Tribolium castaneum: one gene and its partner. The protein of the gene in region 1 binds, or shares a complex with, the protein of each later gene. Links are inferred from orthologs where the notes say so. Each region holds a gene or a part of one and is shown on either strand. Other genes may lie near its edges.

Region 1 (3,701 bases):
AGTCAATTAATAACGCGGGGGGCTAAAGCCTCGCACTGGCTGCCACCCCCGTGCACGCAGACGGTTTAACCTTGGAAAGTTCACACCGAGAGATAAAACGGATTGTTTGTTTTTATTTACAAATTGCCACAATTTCCGGTCATTCTCACACCGCCTCGGCCGGCTTTCGGCACAGTTACGAGCAGCCACATTGGGGCCATTTCGGCCCCCTCGCGTGTCCCAACGACCCGAAAAGTGGAAGCACCAACAAAAGATAACCTTCAAAAATAAACATATGATACTCACCCAGGAATTCACCACGCATTCATGCGCCTTCACGGCGGCGACATATCGAAACGACACACAATAACATTTTTGCGTACAATTCGAACAATGATCGTCTGAACCAAGCGAAAAATTCGATTTTTTGACTCAAATAAAATTCAGCACTGCGAAACCATCTTGTTTTTTAGTTCGACTGTCTTCCACGAAGATGGCAGCAGGTGATTCAAACGCGAGCGCCAACTTAAATTTTTATTGGAAAATACAATCAACCGGAATGTTCATTTAAAAATTGCTGTAATAACGCGTTTGCAATCGGGATTATCAAATACTCAGTCCCGTCTGGCGCTCTCTTGAACTTCACCATTTTGTGGTCCACGAATTCGGTGAGTTGGGCCCGCAATGCCAGGTCCGAACTCACCAAAAATGCCTCGCGGCACAAAGAGTACAAGTCTTTAAACGCCAGGCCTGCAACAAATCAATCAGTTTTGAACGCACAAACTGATAAATCACCTTGATAGTATTGTTTTTTGCCATTTTCGATTTGATACTTGACGAGGATTAAGTAAATTCCTTTGGAGTTGCTCGTCAGTGATAAGAAAACGTTCCGAAGCGATGATAAGGCCAGGTTTCCGGTCCTTTGGACCAACATTGAGCTTTCGAAGGACGTTTCGTCAATATAGCGTTGGAAAGTGGTAACGTCCCACCACGTGAAATTGAATTTACTTATTTTGGAATGGTCCCAAACTAAAACAACAATCAAAGTTTTTGCGCACTACTAGAATTTTTCATTACTTAGGGGGGCATTTATGTGGTCAATTGACGCGATTAGATGAATGTTATTGACTGACGCGAGTCTTGCAAAGACACTTTGGGCTTTTCCACTCCGCATCATGTCGATGTTGTGCACAATGAGGTATAAATGAGTTTCGGGAATAAAACTAAATTCGCGCTCGATAAGGTCGCAGGCCTCGTAAATATTTGAGGGATTTTCCTTCAGTTCTAGTAAATTTAAAATAATCCCGTCAAGGACATCTTTAATTGATAATGAAGGGAAAAATCCGTTCACGACAACCGTTGGCAACTTCTTCAAACACTTTTCGTGAAAAGCATTCAAAACGCCCTTCTTTGAGCCCAACCCATACAACAAAATATTGAAATTTTCATGCATCAAATACATCCACTTATCAAAATAGGCGCAATTCGTCTCGATTAATTTTTTCGTGGCTTTTTCATGCTCACACCCTAGGCTAACTCTCGACAAAAGTTTATGCAGTTGGTCTTGCGGCAGTCTTGGTGTCTCCAACTTATCTAAAGTGTGATTGGACGTTAGAGTTTTTTTACTGGCGTGTTGTGCGAAATAATCGTCTGTTTTTATAGTGTAATTGACTTTTCTCGCTCCTAAAGTGGGTTTAATATTTTTGTTTTGCGGGGGAGGCGGTGTGTCGTCACTGCTGGAAGACTCCTCTGAATTTTCCTCAGACACTTCGAATTCACTCTCACTGGCTGAAAAATCATCTCCGCTCGAACCATTCTCTTCCAAAATTTTCGCCACGATATTTTTCCTCATTTTGTCCCTAAAAGCGTGCGGCGTTTGTTGAACGACTTCGCACTTTTTGCGCGTTTGAAACGTGAATAATTTATCACCAGGGACATGGTCATTATCGTGCAAAACTACAAAAAACTCATGAAGGAAGTTATACAACAGGCAAATGGTCCACCTGTTGGTTTTTCACTACTCTCACAATTGGAATCGTCCTCAGACTCAGTTGCTGTAGAAATATTCAGTTTTTTAAAGCCACGTTTCCTCCTACTGGAAGTAGATACGTATTCTTTAGCTTTTAGACTCAAATTGCGTTGCCGGGAACCCCTGCGGGGCGAAAATAACTCAGGGTCTGCACAGTCGTCTAAAATTGAGGTTAGGTGGGTTCTCAGGTCAAATAAGAGAGAAATTGGTACAAACCTGCCATTTCAGACCACTAGTAACCTTAAGCAGCAATTATAATTAAAGTTTAGTGCAAATTGTTGCTAATATTTCGATATTAAAACGTTTGGCGCCCTCCAAACTTAAAATTAAAACAAAGTGACTATGCAACCAATTATACACTTGACATTTAGTCATTTTTAAAATTTTTTGGAAAGCTGTATGTAGAGTAAAAAGCAACGTTTGGACGAAATTTCAGCATAATTTACTATGCTAGTAATCTTTACCAACTAACAATTGCTATTATTTGGATAGTCTCGGTCAAGTTATCATATTGGTGTGAATTTATATATTTTTTTTTTGGCTTTTTATTCCGAGCATGTGGCCCCCTAATTACCTCATGGAAACGTTTTTTGGAAGTAACCCCGCCAAAACCCGAGTCGTAGAACAAATTCTATTTATACCACCCACGGGTGTTCTAAAATAACTAGCGACTTTGAGGTCGATCTTGCGGCATTAAAACACGATTTTGGTGTACTTAAATAAATTTAATGAGCATTATGATTACAGTTACAAAAATAATCAATGTCTAAAAGAAACCAACTAAAAATTAAAGATATTGCTTAGACAACATTAAATGTGCCCACTTCACATGGAAGTGGGAGACCAAAAATTCATTTCCCTAAGTTCTGACGGTTTGGGTACAAACACCTGACTCCTCTTGCCATTCGACACCTCATCCACACTCAAATTCGACTCTGTCCTCTTCATCTCCTTCTCCTCTTCAGCGATAAAGCCCATACTCTGTGACAAATTCTGCCTCTTGGCCAACAAATTCGACAAAATCCAACTGCCCTGGTGTTCGGAGTCGACAAAAGGCCCCGTGAAGTATTTGTTCACGCGTCGCGTGCTTTTCGGGGACGAGTTGGGGGACGTCAGGGGCGACGCGGGCAACGACTTGCTCCCTCGACGTAACGAAGGGTTGAAACCCTCTGGGGGCAAATCACAATCTTTTTTCTGGATGTCAAAGCCACGGATGGCTTTCCCTAACACCATCTGGTGGGCCACTCGCACCACAGAAGTGCCGCATTTCGCGGCCTCGCCTTTGAAACCGTCGTCCACGCCACTGGACTTGGTCTTGGTGGCGGAGGGGAAGCGGACCTGTTGGGCCGTGGTACTATCTGGAAAAGACCATATGGGGCTGTTACCACCAAGGGAATGGCGTTACCGGTCAAGGGGAGGGGCTCCATGGTGCGCGCGGACGGCCATTCAACAATGAACTGGATTTAGACTTGTTTGCGTTAGATAAGTTTCAATACCGGGTGGCCACATATTAACGAAAGGAAAACAAAGAATTCACTTGGAATTATTTATTGTGGACACGTGGTGCAAAATTAACAATGAAGTGTGGTTAAAAACACAAAGAGTTGGGACGTAGTAAACAGCGTTACGTAAAACATTTATCGCGATTTTGAAGCAAATAGTGCGATAAAAAATTCAGTCAACATTTGAAAAT
Region 2 (3,945 bases), on another chromosome or scaffold:
GTGAGCTCATTAAAGATGATCTTAAGTCGACTAGCATCGTGCGTTTGGTCAATTTGGACGTCATCCACATTGAGCGATTTTTGTACTTGTGACAGAATCGTGCTTAAGTATGGAAACACCGACGCTGGCAGCAGCTCGTGCAGCCCCTGAACGACCGTAACCACAGCCACCCGCGACATTTCGTAAGACAACTGCGTATTAATCCTCACACTCTCAACCAGCTCGTAGACGGACTGGTCTGTGATTGCGGGCGAGGGCAGCTCTGCCTTTTTCACGTCGTTGCAACACTCGGAAATCACCTCCTCGTGAATGTTTTCGATGGACTTCCTCACGCGTTCTTTGTTCGCTTTCACAGGCTTGATGGGCTCCTCAATGTCGTTTTTTAGTTCGGTTAGGAGCGAAGACTGCGAGCTCATGCTCTCAAACCGCCCCATATCCGAGTTTTTGTAATGTAACGTCTTGAGGTCGTCCCCGTGACCCCCGACCTCGGGCAGCTCCTCGATCTCCTTCTTCACTTCTTTCAAGCGCAGGATGATTTCGTGGCGGTCGGTGAGGTTCTCCACCGGCGCGCGCTTCTTCAGGTTCTCGAGACAGTTGTCGACGAACTGGAGGTAAAACGAGGGGTTCACAGTGACAGTCTCGACGTAGTTCGAGGGGATGAACCCCATTTCCCCAGCTTCGTTTATCACTTCCCACCAGTTTTTGTGCTTGGTGTTGCTTTGGTGCAGGATGAAGTATTCGTTGGTGCGAAAACTGAGGGTTTTTGCGTACGTTGCTTTGAAGTCGTAGAGACTGTGGAGCATGTCGAGGGTGCCTGATTTATTAATGGGGTGGCGATTGAAAAAGAGGCGCTTTAAGGGCTCACCTGTTAAAACTATCTTCTGTGACATGGTGGTGTTACGTAAAAGCGGCCAAAGTGAAAGTAATAATTGGATTAATTATTGTTTTGACAAATAAATGTGTCACGCCTCTTTTTTGTTTATGTTGTTGGATCGTGCTCGCTCGTGCACTAGCCGCAGGACCCGATCCGTCAAATTCAAATTTATTTTTTTAATTCACGTTTACTTATACAAATTGTTACCAAAACCAACCCCCTCGTCTCACACAAATATCGAAAATTGTACCTTGGGTTCATTGTACGTTGTATTTCTGTGAAATCAAATCCATTTGGTGAAACTTTTTACGGGTGGCGACATTGAGTTTCAAGGTTTTCGTCAAATTTGATTCTTGTGCCTGTTTGTACGAAAAAACTGTTTGTTTTGAATTGACAGCAGTTGGGTAAGTGGAATTTATCTTATTTTACCTAACGCTATTCTCGACTAGTTATTTACTTGCTGACAAGTGGACAAAAAATCAACATTGTGTTTTTTAAGGTTAGGTAATAGGCGCTCAAACCGGCAATATATAATTTTATTCAATAAAAAAATTGGGGGCATGATAGAATTTAGCATGATTTTAGCTGTTTGGCTGGAATAATTTGCCGATTTAAATGGTTTTATATTTTAGTTGAGTGAATTTTTTGAACAAATCAAGTGGTTGTGTATCGCTGGTGGCGCCGTCCACCGGCGTAAAAATTCAAGTAGCGTTTTCCCAAATTTTTCATTTTGCGTTTTGTGCCTTTCGTGACGGTTTAAAACATTAAAGTTTGGCTCTCGTGCAAGTTTAAAGTGTTTTGTGCTTCGAGAATTATTTGTTTCGGAAGTTGGAAAGGTTTGTGTTTTATAAATACGAAACATTTTGCCCATTTACAAGGCGGCTTTGTGTACTGTTTTTACCAGCGAAAAAACTGCGTAAAAGTTGGTTATTGTTGGAAAAGTCGATAAATGCGTGTAAAATCCAAGTTATTTGCTTTGGAAATGTATAAACTGGGAATGTTAGGTCTAGGGTCAGTTTTTAAAAAGTGAATTCGCTGGTAAAAGTTAATTCCCAATTAGTTCGTCAATCAAAGCATTTGATTGGTTCAGTTTGACCACGTGATCTGACTTTTGTTTACAGAAAGCAAAATTAAGATTTAATTCAGAATTAAACCAAGTTTTTTTTAAATATCACTCGATTTTTAAGCTATCTAAGCTATCAATACAGTTTTATTTTTACTCCATTTCATAAAAGGATTTATTTTCACCAAAATGCTTATCATAGTATTTCCCACTTACTGCAAGCGGAAAGATTTTTAGTATTTCGTGTAACAGGTTTTATGTTATCACTGTTATCAGTGGGTCACCTGAAGTGAATGATTCATGCGGAAATAAAGGTGTAGATGTTGGAAAAAAATAACCAAATGAATAAAATTTAATAAAATTTTATTGATAATAATGTAAAATCTAATAATAGTAATAATAATAATAATACAGTGAATAAATAGAATATTAAAAAATGGCAACACTCAACTGGCCCCACAATTACTTTTCGCCGATAAGAGCTAGAAGGCATTTTCTATAATCGCCGGATGTATCGCCCTATAACGCCCAATTTTACAAATTAATTTAATCATTCCTAGAATTAAATTGTCATACCTTAATAGCCTCAGCCAAAGTCTTCCCGTACTCTTTTTGATATTCATTTTTAATTTCCCCCATGTCAATTTCACTCCTGGTCACAACCACTCTTATCAAATCTCGATCATTAGTTCCCAAGCCTTTCATACTCTTATGCAATTTTTTGGCAAAAAATTTTGCTTTATTTTGAACTGTCTCCACAATTGCCAATAAACCGTCTTTAATATCACCGGAGAATTCACTCTTAATTGCTTGCTCGATCCCGTGACCAGTCAATTTTTCATACTCTGCGAAAATAAGCCGAAGTTGAGGATAACTTCTCTCGGTTAGAATTTTAGTAAAAGTGGATTCGTCAGTCCCCCATTGGTTTTCCCCAGCATTGTATAGATTTTCAGCCTCGGAAACTGCCTCGGTTTTATCGGTCGCGGCACACTCGTCACGTTGAACACCGCAGAGGGCTACCAAAAGTTGTTTAAAGTAGCCACTGGTGTCCCCTTTTATGTCACCTTCGAGGCTTTTGTGAAACACTAGAAAAAATAGTACGAAAAAGTGATATTTTTCCAATAACTAAACGAGTTACGTTTGTGATAAGCATGTCTGATGGTCATAATTTCTGCGTTATTCAAAGTACATAAAACTTCAATTAGGACATCTTCGTCGGTTCCTAACCCGCTAATAGCCCTGTGTAATTCCTCAGCGTACAATTCTTCACGTGGTGTCATTAGGGCCAAAATTAGTTGTTTCAAGTCGCCGCTTAATTCTTTTTTAAGCTCGGAGATTAAATTGTTATTGTGGTGTTTATTAAATTGAGACATTATTTCTAAACGTTGGGCTAAGGACCGTTTCGTGATAATGTTAACGATGGCTTTTTCGTCAGTTCCGGGCCCTGTCATTGCTTTGTGTAAAACTTCGGCATCTTCACTTGAGAGGAAAAATTTCGAAGGTGTTACTGTTGGAGATGTGGCAATTTGGGAGTGCTGGGTAATAAAGATATTAACTAGTTTTTTATCTACTCCTTAACATACCTTTGGTATTTTGGAACATCCGAAGTGATTCATTTTGGGCTAAATAGTTTTATATTAATATTGAATTTTTTTTAATGATGTGTTCATTAACTGCACTTACTTGAAAATTTGTTGACTCGAAATTGGGACAAGTTGTTGCAAGTGGAAACCTTAGAAGACTGAGTGAAGCTAAACATTAGAATCAATAAAACGGCTTATCGGAATGATTATTTTTGCTTCCTTATGCACAATGTTTGGAAGGGGGCTAAGTCAATCGCCGATTAACAAAGCAGTTTTCACAGAATGGGTACGGCGGTAATTTTTGTGATAAATGAATTTCGGGAAATAAATACAAAACCAAAATATGATTCATTTATTTACACAAATATTAATACATGAATAAGGATATCAAAAGAAGATTTTCGTTCCAAATTACGCTTCCCCAA

What was found. The genes of interacting proteins can lie anywhere in the genome.
Region 2: the proteins of Orc2 (region 1) and Orc5 are in contact, whole or in part, in a cryo-EM structure (PDB 7JPO), measured with the Homo sapiens proteins. The link is inferred for Tribolium castaneum from reciprocal best matches to the Homo sapiens genes ORC2 and ORC5. Residues at the interface, in NP_006181.1 of Homo sapiens: Val240, Glu241, Tyr243, Phe244, Glu245, Ser248, Asp396, Gln398, Arg401, Gly402, Glu403, His426, Asn428, Ala429, Pro430, Leu431, Met432, Trp433, Asp434, His435, Gln438, Trp445; in NP_002544.1 of Homo sapiens: Asp324, Lys325, Phe328, Leu329, Leu359, Asp360, Arg361, Ala364, Tyr367, Ser368, Ala378, Asn379, Phe381, Ser382, Gln383, Thr385, Ser386, Thr389, Asp400, Gln401, Leu402, Asp403, Tyr407.

The regions. Positions count from the first base shown.
Region 1 is NC_087397.1:6,382,138-6,385,838, reverse strand, and holds Orc2 (origin recognition complex subunit 2), read right to left. Parts: upstream 2,383-3,701; 5' UTR 2,232-2,382; coding exon 2,225-2,231; intron 2,169-2,224; coding exon 1,983-2,168; intron 1,936-1,982; coding exon 1,057-1,935; intron 1,009-1,056; coding exon 775-1,008; intron 730-774; coding exon 530-729; 3' UTR 501-529; downstream 1-500. Other genes in the region: uncharacterized protein LOC655336, read right to left, coding at 2,834-3,366. UniProt on the Homo sapiens protein: Component of the origin recognition complex (ORC) that binds origins of replication. DNA-binding is ATP-dependent. The specific DNA sequences that define origins of replication have not been identified yet.
Region 2 is NC_087395.1:23,971,378-23,975,322, forward strand, and holds the start of Orc5 (origin recognition complex subunit 5), read left to right. Parts: upstream 1-1,145; 5' UTR 1,146-1,278; intron 1,279-1,541; exon of another isoform or gene 1,542-1,710; intron 1,711-2,283; exon of another isoform or gene 2,284-2,399; coding exon of another isoform or gene 2,400-2,456; intron 2,457-2,513; coding exon of another isoform or gene 2,514-3,022; intron 3,023-3,075; coding exon of another isoform or gene 3,076-3,472; intron 3,473-3,520; coding exon of another isoform or gene 3,521-3,553; exon of another isoform or gene 3,554-3,559; intron 3,560-3,620; exon of another isoform or gene 3,621-3,756; intron 3,757-3,857; exon of another isoform or gene 3,858-3,931; coding exon of another isoform or gene 3,932-3,945. Other genes in the region: NCK-interacting protein with SH3 domain, read right to left, coding at 1-814, 866-890; annexin B9, read right to left, coding at 2,400-2,456, 2,514-3,022, 3,076-3,472, 3,521-3,553; annexin B9-like, read right to left, coding at 3,932-3,945. UniProt on the Homo sapiens protein: Component of the origin recognition complex (ORC) that binds origins of replication. DNA-binding is ATP-dependent. The specific DNA sequences that define origins of replication have not been identified yet.